Drosophila melanogaster: one gene and its partners. Changing the gene in region 3 together with the main gene of any one other region gives a genetic interaction. Each region holds a gene or a part of one and is shown on either strand. Other genes may lie near its edges.

Region 1 (4,880 bases), on a different chromosome or scaffold from region 3:
GTGGTATGTGTATGTGCAGTTTTATAATTAGTGGTTTTTAAAATGTATTCTTAATCCATTTTTTCCTGTCAACCGAATTAATTAACAAACAATGTGTACGAATAACATGCAAAGGATAAATTATTGTAGTCATATTTGGTTTTGTGTTCACAATATGTTTACATATATGTTTAAATAAACGGCGTTTCGCTGAAAAAATGTGTATATTCAATTAATTCATCAAATGAAAATATCTATAATGCAAATCGACAGCATATGTTTTATTAAATCCAATCTCTAATTGTCTTTTTTCGCTCCATTGGTTTCTACGGCAGATCCATTGTCCATGTCGTGACTTACTGATTCACGGAATCGATTGAAGTAGCGACGACCAGTTAGGTACCACAGCGCCTCGTGATAGCTTCTGGGAAGGATCTCCGGAACTGCTTTGCTGCAGGAGTAGGTCAGGTGCAGCACATTGCACTTAAGCTCCGTAAAGCTATTGCCATCGATTGCATTCACCACCGTCAGCAGCTGAATGTAGTTTTCGTGGGTGAAAACCACGTACGCCTTCAGTTTTATATAGCTATGGACGGGAATGGAATGGGCGAACGTAACGTCCGCAATGAAGCGGATCATGCAACGCTGGTTGGAGTAGAGGGAGGCTGTCATGTAGCTAATCTCGATAGCCTTGCGGATGATGAACCCTCCGAAAATGGTGTTCGATTCGTTTCGGTTCTCCGGGAACGGATGCATCAGGGTTCTGCGGCGCCACGTGGACATCCAGCGGGAATTCGGTGGTAGAGTAGTCATATCACTCGGCGAAGGTCCGTCATCGCCCTTGGTTCGGGTAAATAGCTCGTACATGAGCTGCTGTTCCTCCTTGGTGGGCTGCTGCGACTCCAGGCGATACAACGCTTTGGCACGCTCCTGGTGCCGCTTCTGCGCTTCCTGGTGTAAACTTTCTTCCAGCTCATTGGCCGGCACCAGAGGATTGACAGGAGCAGGGCCATTATTGATGGCATCGCGAGCCTCTACCACAAAAATGCCCTTTGCCAGCAACATTCCGCTTTGTCGCACATATGCCGTGACCTCCATGAAGTTATTGTCCGTATATGAAACGTGACCGGAGAGGGACACATCTGCATCCGCAATAAACTTGTCTTGCAAGAAGTGGGCGTGGTCCACCAGCATGGTGATAAAAGTGTATGGCAGCGGCACACCCTCCGGCAGATTGGGCAGATGGATGTGAAGATGGCAGATCCACACTGCAAGGCCACTCTCATTAATCAGGTATTTGGAGTAGTTAGTTAGTATACTTTACTTACTTACCTGCAAGAAGGTCAAGTTCCTCAATTATCCTGCCCATGCGAAGCAAGCCTCGCCCGTAAACGAATCGTTGCCTCAACAGAGCATCTGTTTCCAGGAGCACCTGGGCAGTCGTTTGTGAGTCCAGCATGGAGCGATTGGGCAGTTCGTCTTGCTTCGGCTGAAACTTGAGCAGTCCATCCCGGCTCTTGGGAATGATGTGGTAGCCTCCTTCCACGCCGACGTGCTCACGGATTTTCTTCGCCACTGTGCTTGGTATTGGGAGTTGGATAAGTGGACGATAATGTGGAGGTTTACCCGCGGTTACCATCTGCCATCGTGCCCGAGCGGTGCCCCGAATCCAGCAGCTCCCTCCCGGATTCCATGAACGAGTGACGAATTGCACCCAGTTGGTGCCACGGGTGTCGCACGGCGATCACCCTTCTGCCAAAGTGCTGGCTCAAATTCATTTAAATTTTGGGTTTGTGTGCTCCGCTATATTCATATGTATAGTTGTCAAATAATAAGATACAGTACGTTAAAATCGTTTGCACTTAATTTTTTAAATTTGTAACAGAATAACGGCTTTTATGTAATCGAAATCTTAAGAATCACAAGTACTAGTTTCCAAAGTTATCACGTTCCAGGCTTAGCTACTTTCTGTTGTCAAAAGTAAATGTCGTAGCGCATTATTAATAAATTCGCTGTTTTGTTTAGGAATCAAAGAATTAACTATTTGAAAGCTGTATAAGTCGCAGATCAGTGTTTGTCAACACTGGTCAATCCATCCTCCATCTTCCACCATTCGCTTTCGGTATTTTTTCCTATTCCTGTCCTGCTTACTCATCGTAGCAGCGCCGAATAACGGATCCTAAGATCGAACGAACCTGTGCTAAACGTGATTTCGTTCAATTTCTCATACATTTCAATATATTTGACCCGATCAAAAGTACTCGTTTTAAGTTTTAACCAAAAAAAAAACCAACAATTAGTGAGTATGGACCCTATGAAAGAGGAGGCGATCGAATTGAATGGCCATGCTATGCAAATGGCCGAAGCTGAGCAAGAAAATGGCGCTGGCGCCCTGAAAATTGCCACCAATGCGGGTGCAACCGATCGTCCAGCGCATCAGCAGCTTCCGCTGCCAGTCGAAGATCAGCAGGATGAGGTGCTGACCCCCGCTGAGAAGGGCAAGTTCGAGTACCCGCCCCCTCCACCGCCACCAACTCCAGTCCAGGCTCCGCTAGCCACCAAGGCCACCGCTCTGAATGCCAGTCAAGAGCATGACGACGACGAGGCCAACTCCGAGAAGTGGGAGGATCCGTGCGCTCCGCCCCCGCCTCCTCCGCTGCCGACTAGCGCTTTCCTGGCCACCGGACTGGGCTACCTCAAGCTGCCCGCCTTCAAGCTGAAGGACGCACTGGAGAAGGCCATCACCAAGTTGGAGGCCAACAAGCGGACGCTAAAGGCCAGCCCTGAGGTGAGTTCATTACATATAACATTTTTAATTTTATTATTAGCAGTGCACACTGTTGTCAGATTATATATTTATATTGAAATACATTTTAAATTTAACTTTTCTTGAGTCAAACTTGATATTAGTCTAAAATCTTCGCAATATTTATTGGCCAACAAAGCACAGTATTAAACACGTAAATGGTATTAGGAATCAGAGCAGCTCTGATACAAATGTCGTTAAAAATTTAGTTAAAGAAACTTTGACTTGGCATTCATATATTCGACACTTATTTTACATCGAGTACAGACAGGCACTCTCATATATCATGAAGTTTTTTCAATGTTGTTTTTATTTTGGCAAACAGTCTTCTCGTTCCATCAAAAACAAGAATGTGGTGGCCCTGGAGATGTTACCCAGGCGCTCAAACCCAGAAACGATCGGCGATGGATCCATGTTGGCATCCACATCCACGGCTGTTATGCTGCAGACCAAAAAGCCCGCCGTTATTGTGGAGATGGAGAGGCGTTGTAAGATCATCAATTTACTGGCCAAACAGAATCAAATCCTCGAATCCATTTCGGGGGAGGCCATTCCGATGCATGGACCCTCGAAGCATCTGCACGAGGACGAGGGTCTGACCCTGCAAGTTCTCTCGGCCCGAGCATCCACACCGTACACACAGCCCTCCAGCATGTTGTCCTGCACGGCCGTTAGTTGTGACCTGGAGCACGATTCGCCGCGGAAGCAAGTGGCCAGCAAGGAGGCCGTGCCGGAGCAGCAGTCTAGTCAGGTGCAGCAAAAGCGTCCACCCAGCACAGGCATTCACAAGCCAGGAAGTCTGCGAGCACCCAAGGCTGTTCGTCCTACTACTGCTCCGGTGGTCAGCAGCAAGCCGGTCAAGAGCTATACCCGCTCCCGCCTGATGGACATTCGCAACGGGATGTTCAATGCCCTGATGCACAGGTCCAAGGAGAGCTTTGTGATGCCTCGCATCGCCACCTGCGACGACATTGAGTTGGAGGGAAGGCTTCGCCGCATGAATATTTGGCGCACCTCGGACGGCACAAGATTCCGGACCCGCTCCACCACAGCTAACTTAAACATGAACAACAACAACAACAATGAGTGCATGCCTGCCTTCTTCAAAAACAAAAATAAGCCGAACCTAATCAGTGACGAGTCCATCATCCAGAGCCAACCGCCCCAGCCGCAAACGGAGTTCCAAGTAAGCTAGTTAAACTTATACTATTCTACTCAATTTTGCCATATATTCTATATAAAATAGACTTGGTTAGCTTAATGGAAAACTTATGATTTGAAAAGGAAAAAGTGATTGTGACAGTGCGGTAATTGTTACAGTTACACATGGCGTCGATTCATTTGAGTACCTCGACCATCTGATACCCCTTCCTTTGTAGGCCAAATTGTCTTTTTGGTCTGCTCAGAAAAGCTCTTTTATGAAAAATCATATTTCCCGCCTTTTCTGCTTAGAAAAAATCGCTTAATCGATTAAGAACATTTTCCCCACTTTTGCATTAGGTAACACAAAGTCGCATTATTCCTGAGCTTATCTGATAAATCAATGATTGCATTGCATGACCTCCAGAGGTCTTTGGCAATCATGCTGATCATTGGCTGGACCCTCGCCACAGTCAAATCACTAATCTAGAACATTTTACAACTGATTGCGAATAAGTATGAAGTAATTACTACAGTCGTATTAGACTATTTCCTTTTATTGAATTCTAAACCATCTGGGATTCTACAAATACCCTCGAGCGAAATCACTTCTCTAGATAATGACACTTTCCATCGACCTCCCGCAACCTTTGGGCTGCCTGTTCGGGAGTCAGATCCCGCTGGGCCATGGCCAGCAGCTCAAATCCCACCATGAACTTGCGCACGGAGGCAGAACGAAGCAGCGGCGGATAGTAGATGGCGTGCAGGGTCCAATGAGCACTGGATGCGTGGGCATGCTCCGGCCCAGTCGGTGCTCCATGCCAACCCATCGAGTAGGGGAATGAACACTGGAACAGATTGTCATACTTGGTGGTCAGCTCCTTTATGGTCAGCGCCAAGTTGTATCGCTGTTCTGCGGTAAGATCATTGATCCGCTTATTGTTGTTGCGTGAGA
Region 2 (4,003 bases), on a different chromosome or scaffold from region 3:
TACTTTAAATATCATTGCAGTTATCTTCTATATACACCTAAGATAAATCAATGCCTAGCACATATCCCTAGTTCGACTCATTCGGCTCCCATTGACAAAGTCATTAGTTAACATCCCTCTGATCTCAAAGCAAACAGGGTGACCACGACTTCCCAGGACCGAACCAAATGAACCACAGATTAATCCCAAAGCCACGACGACAATTAATATGCTGCCATATCCACGCCCGAAAAAAAAAAAAGATGGGCAAACCGGTCAGTGGAAAAGAGATTAGAACAGTCAAATGACTTTAAATTAAGCCGATGTGCGTCTGTCCGTCGATTTAATTAAAATCAAAACAAAATCTTTGCCCGCCGACACGCCCCTTTTGGTGGCAGCAAATAGACAAATAATAAAACCATAAATAATGCAAAACAATAAACGAGCAAGTATTCATAAATTATTAACGCAGAAGCTGCTGGCCGACAAAAGGCAGCGCAAATACCCAAAATATTTTGCCAAAGCATTTAGAAGGACAATGAGGCACGAACCAGATGACAGAATCCGGGGTAGAATAGCAAATCCCCGCAGCAAATAATTGAGCCTCATAAAGGAAATATCATTCATTGATTTTCCCCCGGCAACCACAACAGATTCTCGACCTCTCATCTTTCCCAGCAAGTGGATGAAGTCGTCGGGCGGTTGCAAATGGTCCTTGGAATGGGAATGGGCACGAGCATGGGTTGGCCAGTGGTGGTGGGTCATGGGGCTTCATTTAGCTGACTCTATGGACAGCTGACGAAACTATCCACCTAGCGGCGAAGGAAGACTTTCACATGAATCCCAAATCTATGCCCCGTCATGATTTGCACAAAAAACTTGAGCTGGCAAATTTGTCAGTGGGCACAAAGGACGCGGCAAAGAAGAAGATGAGGGAAGCGGAACGGAAAAAATCTAAGGACGAGTCAGGGAGAACAAATGATAAATTATTGAGGGATTTTCGTTAATTTGATGACACTGATGATGGCCAAGGCCAGATTATCCTGACTGCCGAATTTTGATTGGGCCAAACAGGGAACAGAAGACATATCTCATAAAATAATTTGTAATGATTTCAATTTTAATAGATATAGATATACTTATGTTCGATTAAAATCTTTTTGTTATAGGCGTAGAAATTTAAATAGCACCATATGTCAGCTAATCGAGAGTATTTTTATAAGCTTATCAACATAATTTTACCAATGTCTTCAAAGCTAAGACGATGAAATACACTTTTAATATATATAATATAATATAATAATATAATATAATATAATAATATAATAATAATATATAAGATGTTAAACGGAATCCCGTTTTTATAAAGTGAATGTTTTCAAACTATTACTTATTTCCATATTTAATAAGTGAAAGTTTTCTATTTTCGAATTGGTATTAAAGCAATAAGCTGAGTATATAGGTATTTATTTTATACTTATGGCGTAAGGCATGGAAATATAATTTATTGAAAGTCAAATTCTTGGTGTTTTTAACTTAATGAACTGATTATACATATTATTTATCACTCTTATTCTTTATTTTACTTCTTTTTTCGAGAGCATTAGTCGCAAGTGCGTCTTCGCTAGCTTTGGAATGTGTACTCGCTAATATGGAAGTATGTACACACTGCATAGAATGAAAAAACGCTATCTTATTCCAGAACCTCAAATCTTGTACAGCTTGAACTCTTTTAGACATGTTTATAAATGGCTGAAGTTGCTTATGTTAATAGGAGTCTACGATTAACTGTCAGATTCCAATAATCCGATCAAGTGGCATCTTTTAATGCACAAGTTTAAATGGTTTGCCTAACAGTCACGATAATATATATCAAATGGTTGGCAACGCGATACGTAGCATTCTGAGTTGACCCGACAATGAACTGGTATCTATTTAGTAGCCAGTTAGTATTTTATTGGGGCGGTCACACTGATCCGTACCCAAAAACAATCAACCGATGCGAAAAGCATAACAATTCGAAAGTTTAAAATTCGGTCAAGATGAGCGCCTATTATCGGCGCGCGGCGTTGCGGAAGAAGAGCCCAAGCCGAGGGTCATCCTTCGAGTTGGAGATGAACGAGTCTGGCTACACATCCTTCCTGGCGCTGCACAATTCCACCGCGGAGACGCCATTTTTATTGGAGGACGCTGAGGGCGAAAACTGTCGCAATGCATCGAATACCACAACATTCTTTCGGGGGCTGAACACGCCCAGTGGCCACCAGGAGCAGGACCTTTACTGGGGCAAGCCCTATCCCAGAACACAGCCCCAAAAGAAATTTTCCGCGGAGGAGGAGCCTTTCTCTATGACTCCGCGTCTGCAGGATGAGCATAGTCTGCCCAAGCGACGCAAGAAACACTTTCAATCGCCACACAGTAGCCCCAAGAAGTCCAAAAAGCTGCTCTTTCCCCACATAGAAGAACCGCCCAAGAATCGCTTCTACGGCGGTGTCGAAAAGCTGGATATCGTGGCCAAGCTGGCGCAATGGCAACCGGCACTGCAGTGCATACTGCGTCATGTGGGCGCCCACACGCTGGACGTGATGACCAAGGTATCGCCGGCCTGGAAGCAGGCTGTTTATCGCAGCCAACGCGACTTGGAGCGCCTACAGAACCACCGACTCAAATTGAATCTAACCAAAGAGAATCCTCACGTGCCCAAGCGGTGCAGCCATGTGCCCAAGGCAAACCACACAGTGCCATTGCAGACCTCGAACCATAGCAGCCTGGCCAACAGCGCCGCCTCGCTAATGGACTCGGGCAACTCGAGCATCCACCTGATGGACGTGGATGCCGGAAGGGTGCTGCGCGAGCAGACGCAGCGCGTCAAGTGTCCGCGATGCGGTCGAGGCAGCCGGGTTTTCATAAGCGAGGCGGCCAAGTGTGGCGAAAACCTATTGTCGCAAACTCTGCCTATTGGACGTACAACCAGCACATTCCCCTGCATGACGGGTCCGCCTCTCAAACGCTTCCTGTCCCTGGATCTTGACGAGGTCAGGACTTCACCGCAAGGACCGCCATATAACTTCGCCGAATGCACCAGTGTCATCTGCCAGTTTCGGTTCTGCGTCAACTGTCTGTGCAAGTCGCATCCCGGCGAGCGTTGCCTGGTCACCGAACTGGACACACCATCCAAACTGATGATGCCACGGGAGCGACTGACGCCGCCACAACGTGCCCAGAACCGTGATCCGAAAATCACAAGGAAGAACTCGCTCAAGCGGCTCTGCTTTTAGCTTTATCATAGGCTTTTAACTATTACGATTAGTATTCGATTTTTTTAAATCTCATTAATTTCGTATTATGTCCATCGCATTAAGTTCCATTTCATCACGTACATTCATATATATGTTTTTAAATCGTTCCATGTAAGGTTTGTCGGAATTCTGTACCTCTGCGAGATTAAGTATTTTTTACACATGCAAAATATATAAATCATTTTTAGAACTATAATTGTTATAATTATAACTGGGGGAAAGTGATTCCTGTTTATTAACATGTAAGGCTTTGTTATTATACATCATTATAACAGGCTTCAAAGGCAGCCTTAATATGTTAGGCAAGTCTTAAAAATATTTTATTATTATTGATTGCATTGCATAAAATAAATTCAAACAGAAAATGTTTAAAATCAGCTGTAGTATACTGGTTTGGGTCTTGGCTAACGCCAATGCGCGCTATTTACCGTAAGCTACTTTGTGTACTGCCAAGAGATCTTTGGCCACACCAACAAAACACGTGTGGAGTGCGGTTGCCGCACATTTATTGTTCTCCGTTTTTACCTTTAATTAACTTGAGAAAAAAGGAAAAAACGATCATCCAAAATGAGTACTGCGTTGGCACAGCAGCTGCAGAAACTGGCTGCGCCGCAGTCGTCGGTAACTTTGGCAGATGCACGAAGTCGCGCCTCCATACTCTTCGATCCCAAGGAGGCGGCCACCAAGGATCGGCGGTCCATTTATGAGATCGGGTTAACGGGACT
Region 3 (6,217 bases):
GCTATTAAAATGCATTTAAAAACACAAAATATTTAAAATAATTGCCAAGAAGCTAATGCGCCGCTTGTTTACATCGGTCAACGCCCAAATAATGTCGAAGAGCAAGGGGAAATCAAAGGCCGGCGTTGAAAGTGCGAAAAACGATGCAAAAGCGATGCCGGCTAAGGAAGCCAGTCCGATTTCAGTCGATAAGAGCGGCAATATATGCATACAAATCCTTGCCAAGCCGGGGGCTAAGCAGAACGGAATCACAGGAATTGGCTTTGAAGGAGTGGGCGTCCAAATCGCCGCTCCGCCCAGCGAGGGAGAAGCTAACGCCGAACTGGTCAAGTTTCTGTCGAAAGTTCTAGGTCTTCGAAAGAGCGACGTTTCTTTGGACAAGGGATCTCGATCGCGAAACAAGATAATAATGATAACCAAGGGAGTGTCCACGGTGGAGGCCATTGAGCAGCTGCTGCGCAAAGAATCCGATTCATAGATTGTTTATTCCCCCCAATAAATACTCGCTCAGAAGTTAGATTTTTAAAACACATTTGCTTGTTGTTTATTTGGTTTTATGTTTATCATCGATCGGGTCATCAAACCTTAATTATATATATACTCGATTCTTTATATAGCTCTACCAACTAGGGCGCGTATGTAGTCTTTAGTTTTTTACATAAATTACTTGGATTCTAAATTATAAGTTCTTAAAACGACAACTGCTCTTGAATGTTCTGTGAGAACCTAACCATTTAACGAGTTATTCCTGCTTTTTTATGAGTTAAGCGTATGTCTGTCGCTTATAACGCGGCAAAATGTTAATGAATACAAAATTTAACTCGGCCGTAGTAAACTCAGTATAAAAGTTCGAAACGCAAGTAAATTGTGTATGTGAATGCGAGTGATAGAATGAATTTTGGTTGTTTGTTTCGACTGGTCGCTTAATCGACCTCCTCCATGTGGGAAGCGTCCTCTGTGTCCTCAACCAGCGAGGGGGCATCTCCGGCGCTCTGGGCATCGTCGGTAGTCATAGGCTCGTCCTCGTCGATTCCCAAGCCCAGCTTGATCATGCGGTAGATGCGGCTGGCGTGCACCTGGGGGCTGTCCAGCGAGAATCCAGAGGACAGCAGAGAGGTCTCGAACAGCAGGATGACCAGATCCTTGACGGCCTTATCGTTCTTGTCGGCATCGGCCTTCTGGCGGAGAGTCTCCACAATTGGGTGATCGGGGTTGATCTCCAGCTGCTTCTTGCCGGCCATGTAGCCCATTGTGGCGGTATCACGCAGAGCCTGGGCCTTCATGATGCGCTCCATGTTAGCGGACCAGCCGAACTGCGAAGTGACAATGCAGCAGGGCGAATCCACCAGGCGGTTGGACACCACCACCTTCTCGACCTTGTTGTCCAGGATGGACTTCATCAGCTTGCACAGGCTCTCGAACTTGGCCTTGTCCTCCTCGCGCTTCTTCTTCTCGCTCTCATCCTCAGGCAGCTCCAGACCCTCCTTGGTGACAGAGACCAGCTGCTTGCCCTTGTACTCCTTCAAGTGCTGGATGACATACTCATCGATGGGCTCGGTCATGTAGACCACCTCGAAGCCACGGGCCTTGACGCGCTCCACGAAGGCAGAGTTGCTGACCTGGTCCTTGGACTCGCCAGTGATGAAGTACACGTGCTTCTGGTTATCCTTCATGCGCGACACGTAGTCGGCCAGGGAGCAGAAATCGTCGCCGGAGGCAGAGGTGTGGAAGCGAAGGAAGTCGGCCAACTTGGCACGGTTGTTGCTGTCCTCGTGCACACCCAGCTTCAGGTTCTTGCTGAACTGGTCATAGAACTTCTTGTAGTTCTCCTTGTCCTCGGTGAGCTCCTCAATCAGCTCCATGGTCTTCTTGACCAGGTTCTTGCGGATCACCTTTAGGACCTTGTTCTGCTGCAGCATCTCACGTGAGATGTTGAGGGGCAGATCCTCGGAGTCGACCACACCCTTCATGAAGTTCAAGTACTCTGGAATGAGGTCCTCGCAGTTGTCCATGATGAAGACACGACGCACGTACAGCTTGATGTTGTTGCGCTTCTTCTGGTTCTCGAAGAGATCGAAGGGCGTGCGACGGGGAATGAAGAGCAGAGCACGGAACTCCAGCTGACCCTCCACGGAGAAGTGCTTGACGGCCAGATGATCCTCCCAGTCGTTGGTCAGGGATTTGTAGAACTCGCCGTACTCCTCCTGGGAGATATCATCGGGATTGCGGGTCCAGATGGGCTTGGTCTTGTTCAGCTCCTCATCCTCAGTGTACTTCTCCTTGATGGTCTTCTTCTTCTTGGCATCCTTGTCCTTCTTGTCGGCATCCTCATCCTCGCCAACATCCTCGATTTTGGGCTCATCAGTCTCCATCTCCTTCTTCTCATCACCTTCCTTCTTCTCATCATCAGCCTCATCGTCGCTGACCTCCTTCTCGCGCTCCTTCTCTACGAGCAGCTTGATGGGGTAGCCAATGAACTGGGAGTGCTTGTTAACAATCTCCTTGATCTTGCTCTCCTCCAGATAGTCGGTCTGGTCCTCCTTGATGTACAGCACGATCTTGGTGCCACGGCCCAGGGGCTCAGAGTTGTCGGCACGGACTGTGAAAGAGCCTCCGGCAGAGGACTCCCACACGTACTGCTCGTCATCGTTGTTCTTGGAGGTGACAGTCACCTTGTCGGCGACCAGGTAGGCGGAGTAGAAACCCACACCGAACTGACCGATCATGGAAATGTCGGCACCAGCCTGCAGAGCCTCCATGAAGGCCTTGGTTCCGGACTTGGCAATGGTTCCCAAGTTGTTGACCAGGTCGGACTTGGTCATACCGATACCGGTATCAATGATGGTCAGAGTACCAGCCGTCTTGTTAGGGATCAGCTTGATGTACAGCTCCTTGCCAGAGTCCAGCTTGCTGGGGTCAGTAAGGGACTCATAGCGGATCTTGTCCAGGGCATCGGAAGCGTTCGAGATCAACTCGCGCAGGAAAATCTCCTTGTTCGAGTAGAATGTGTTGATGATCAGGGACATCAGCTGAGCAATCTCAGCCTGGAATGCAAAGGTCTCTGCTTCTTCTGGCATCTGCAATGGATTTACAAAATCATTAGGATTAGTTATAGTCTGTGGGTTCAACACTAAGGAAAAGCAGCTGCATTTTCAGCAGCTGCTCCGGTTTTATTCTTTTTCTTTCTTTCTCTTTTGCACATGCCTCATTTAACATGCGCATATACAAGTACAGTGGTGGTCAAAATTATAGCATTCACTTTGCAACCCGTAAAATGGAATTTTAATTTCAATTAGCCAACAGAATTGATTTTAAGTTGCAAAATAATGTTTTAAATTTAAATATTTAAATATAATTATGCAAATTGGGTCGGTTGATAATTTTTCTACCCCTGCTGTGTGCAAACTCGTGTCTGTGTGAGTGAGCATTGCATTGAAAATTCGTACTTCACCAAGGAAGTTTGTGGAAGCATCTAGAAGCCAAAGGAAAACTAATTCGCCTAGCAAGTTGCTAGTAGCAACCAACCAATTAAAATAGAGCAAATAGGATTAAAAAACCGATTTAACAGAATTTGCTTACTGACGCCACATTTTTACTTGAAAGTATTAGTCATGGGCGTGCATGTGTGCGTATGCGGCATGTGCAATTTAAAATGGGAATGCAAAGAAAGCACGTGTAATTGTAAATGAAGGACAGTAATTTATAATTAAAAAGCCTATTTGGCACGCTGTTTAATTCATGCTAAAGCATAGAAACCTCTAGAACATTCTCGAGCGGCAAATGTGATTTGCGCATTGTCACCCCCTAAAAAGAGCGGCATAATTCGATTTAGCGCTAAAAGACCATTGCATTAAACAAAAATTAATCTTGTATTCTATAAACCACATGTAATTGTAAATAAAGGACAGTAATATATAATTAAAAGGCCTATTTGGCACGATGTTTAATTCATGCTAAAGCATAGAAACCTCTGGAAGATGCGTCCAAGCGACAAAAAATAAAAGAAACCGGCATTTTGAGTTAATTTGCACGTTGCCACCTCTTAATTAATCAAAAAAAATTCTTAAACTTGGCTCCTAGAAATTTAAAATCAATATCTCACATTTGGGTCAAGAACATTCGAGATGCACAGGACCACGCAAAATGCACATTTTGGCCATAGCCACTGATAAACTATTCACTCTTTTCTTGTAATTTGCATTACTCACCTTGTATGTATGTTTTTCGTTCTATTCACAGAATAAAGGTAAAAATACAGATATTTTCACTTTGCTTTGTATAGAATTGGAAATTCACAAAACTTTTCAGACGCTGCTTGTTGTTACGACGCACACCGTACGAAATTTTTTTCAAGACTCGAACCGGCAAACGCCGCGCGTCTGCTTTTATAGAAAAACCCGACCCGAACTGGAAGTCTCTAGAAACTTCTAGAGGCTTCTGGATGCCAGGGATGCAACTTCCTGTGAATACTAGGGTAGATCAGTGTTGTGATACGGTCGAAAAGTGCGCAACCTGTGCGGGCGAATTCAAAAATTATACTGAACTAAGTTTGGTGGAAATTCGTCTAAGTGGTCCGAACGATTGAGCAAAGCCCACTGGGATTGCTTAAAACATTACAATTGGATATCAAAACGCCCACTAGGCTTATACTGTAATTAGGAAAATGGAAAATTTAATTGTTCCCAATATTATTTTACTTGTTTTAACAGTAAATAATAAACAAATCAGCTTATGACCTGTTAATTTTTATTTATATTTATGAATACTTTTCTCCACCAGACTATCGATATTTCCAGAGTTTCAGAGACTTGGTGGTGCAAGCTGGTTCCTCTGGAATAAACTAGTTCCATTTTAAGCGGACGGTAAAATTTGAAATCACTTGAGTGGGTTTGGGGAACAAAAATTGGAAAGTTTTTGTTGTAATTAGCTAAAAAGCAGACATTTCACATTCCGGAAAATAATTGCTTCTGTGCAAAACCTGCTACAAGCCCAGTCAAGTAAAAAATCTCTCATTAATTAAGAAGTGTCATATCGATCATTTGGTTTCGGTCAATTCTGTTATCGATGCCTCCCATCGATATCACCAGCTGACGCTAACACTTCCACCACTAATAACATAAAAGTTGTTTGCTTATATTTAAACAAATGGGCGGCACTAAGTGTTGTTTTCGTGATTGTCCGGTGGGTTCTAGCCGCAACCCCAATATGCACTTCTTCAAGTTCCCCGTTAAGGATCCGAAGAGGTTGAAAGATTGGGTCAGGAATTGTTCAAACCCTGACGTTTCAAATGCACCGCCGTCCAAACTGGCAGCCAAAACAGTTTGTGCCCGGCACTTTCGAGCGGAATGCTTCATGAACTACAAAATGGACAGACTCATCCCAATGCAGACGCCCACTTTGTTCAGGATCAACAGGGATCTGGCACTAGACTATGAAAATCTCGACCAGAACGGTGAAGCTCTTCTCGTGAAGTTGACGCCTCCAAAGCAGCAACACCTAATACCACCTAAAGATTTCGAGTGTCCTCTGGGATTCGTGGATGGTGAGACACAGAATTTGGATGTTGTTAAGAAACGAAATACAGTAGAGTTGACAGAAGAGGAGGAACCGCAAGGGAAAGACGAAGCCGACGAAGTGCTGGCTACGGAGCAGGAACAGCCGGTTGTACACACGGAGAAAACAACGGTGGCGCATAAGAGTTCTACAACATCAACAAGCGCTTCGGCTATGCCTCAAAACATTCTAGATATCATAAGTCAACTTCAGCCTTCATTGGGCATCAAATTGATTAAAAGACCAGTAAAGCGTCAATCAGGAAGCGAGAATGAGTTGTTTCAGCTTGAAGAGCAGCTCCCAAAAGAACAAACTGATGATACAAGCAAGATGCGAACAGTCACCAAGGAATCAGAAAAGCAAATTAAATCAAAAAGTTGTATTATTGACGTTATGAAAATGCCAAAGCTTGCCGATAAATGTCAAGAAAAGCAAGTGCCAACTAGAAAAGAGTACCGACCAATTAAAGGGACTGTGGTTAGAAAACGTGGGATGCAGGAGGCAGATGCTGATAGACTGAACGAAGATGAATCCACCAAGGAGCAGGCTAAGAAAAGGAAGCTACCCCAAGAAGCACAAAAGACTGACTCCCACGCTTCACCTGAGAACGGTACGATATTGAACCGATATACACAATTGCAAGAGAAATTCTGGGATGAGCAGA

The links.
Region 1: of Hsp83 (region 3) and cup, changing one enhances a phenotype caused by changing the other (phenotypic enhancement), as found in Drosophila melanogaster (one study listed by BioGRID).
Region 2: of Hsp83 (region 3) and Rca1, changing one suppresses a phenotype caused by changing the other (phenotypic suppression), as found in Drosophila melanogaster (one study listed by BioGRID).

Annotation. Positions count from the first base shown.
Region 1 is NT_033779.5:6,661,821-6,666,700, forward strand, and holds the start of cup (cup), read left to right. Parts: upstream 1-1,843; 5' UTR 1,844-2,329; coding exon 2,330-2,767; intron 2,768-3,110; coding exon 3,111-3,971; intron 3,972-4,443; exon of another isoform or gene 4,444-4,530; coding exon of another isoform or gene 4,531-4,880. Other genes in the region: CG13771 (uncharacterized protein), read right to left, coding at 277-1,247, 1,312-1,554, 1,616-1,757; Galt (Galactose-1-phosphate uridylyltransferase), read right to left, coding at 4,531-4,880. UniProt on the Drosophila melanogaster protein: Adapter protein that plays a central role in localization of transcripts in the oocyte and in young embryos. Maintains RNA targets in a repressed state by promoting their deadenylation and protects deadenylated mRNAs from further degradation.
Region 2 is NT_033779.5:6,850,401-6,854,403, forward strand, and holds Rca1 (regulator of cyclin A1), read left to right. Parts: upstream 1-1,914; 5' UTR 1,915-2,021; coding exon 2,022-3,257; 3' UTR 3,258-3,466; downstream 3,467-4,003. Other genes in the region: l(2)k09022 (lethal (2) k09022), read left to right, coding at 3,846-4,003.
Region 3 is NT_037436.4:3,191,359-3,197,575, reverse strand, and holds Hsp83 (heat shock protein 83), read right to left. Parts: upstream 4,608-6,217; 5' UTR 4,209-4,607; intron 3,078-4,208; coding exon 924-3,077; 3' UTR 517-923; downstream 1-516. Other genes in the region: CG14966 (uncharacterized protein), read left to right, coding at 56-478; CG14965 (uncharacterized protein), read left to right, coding at 5,146-6,217. UniProt on the Drosophila melanogaster protein: Molecular chaperone that promotes the maturation, structural maintenance and proper regulation of specific target proteins involved for instance in cell cycle control and signal transduction. Undergoes a functional cycle that is linked to its ATPase activity.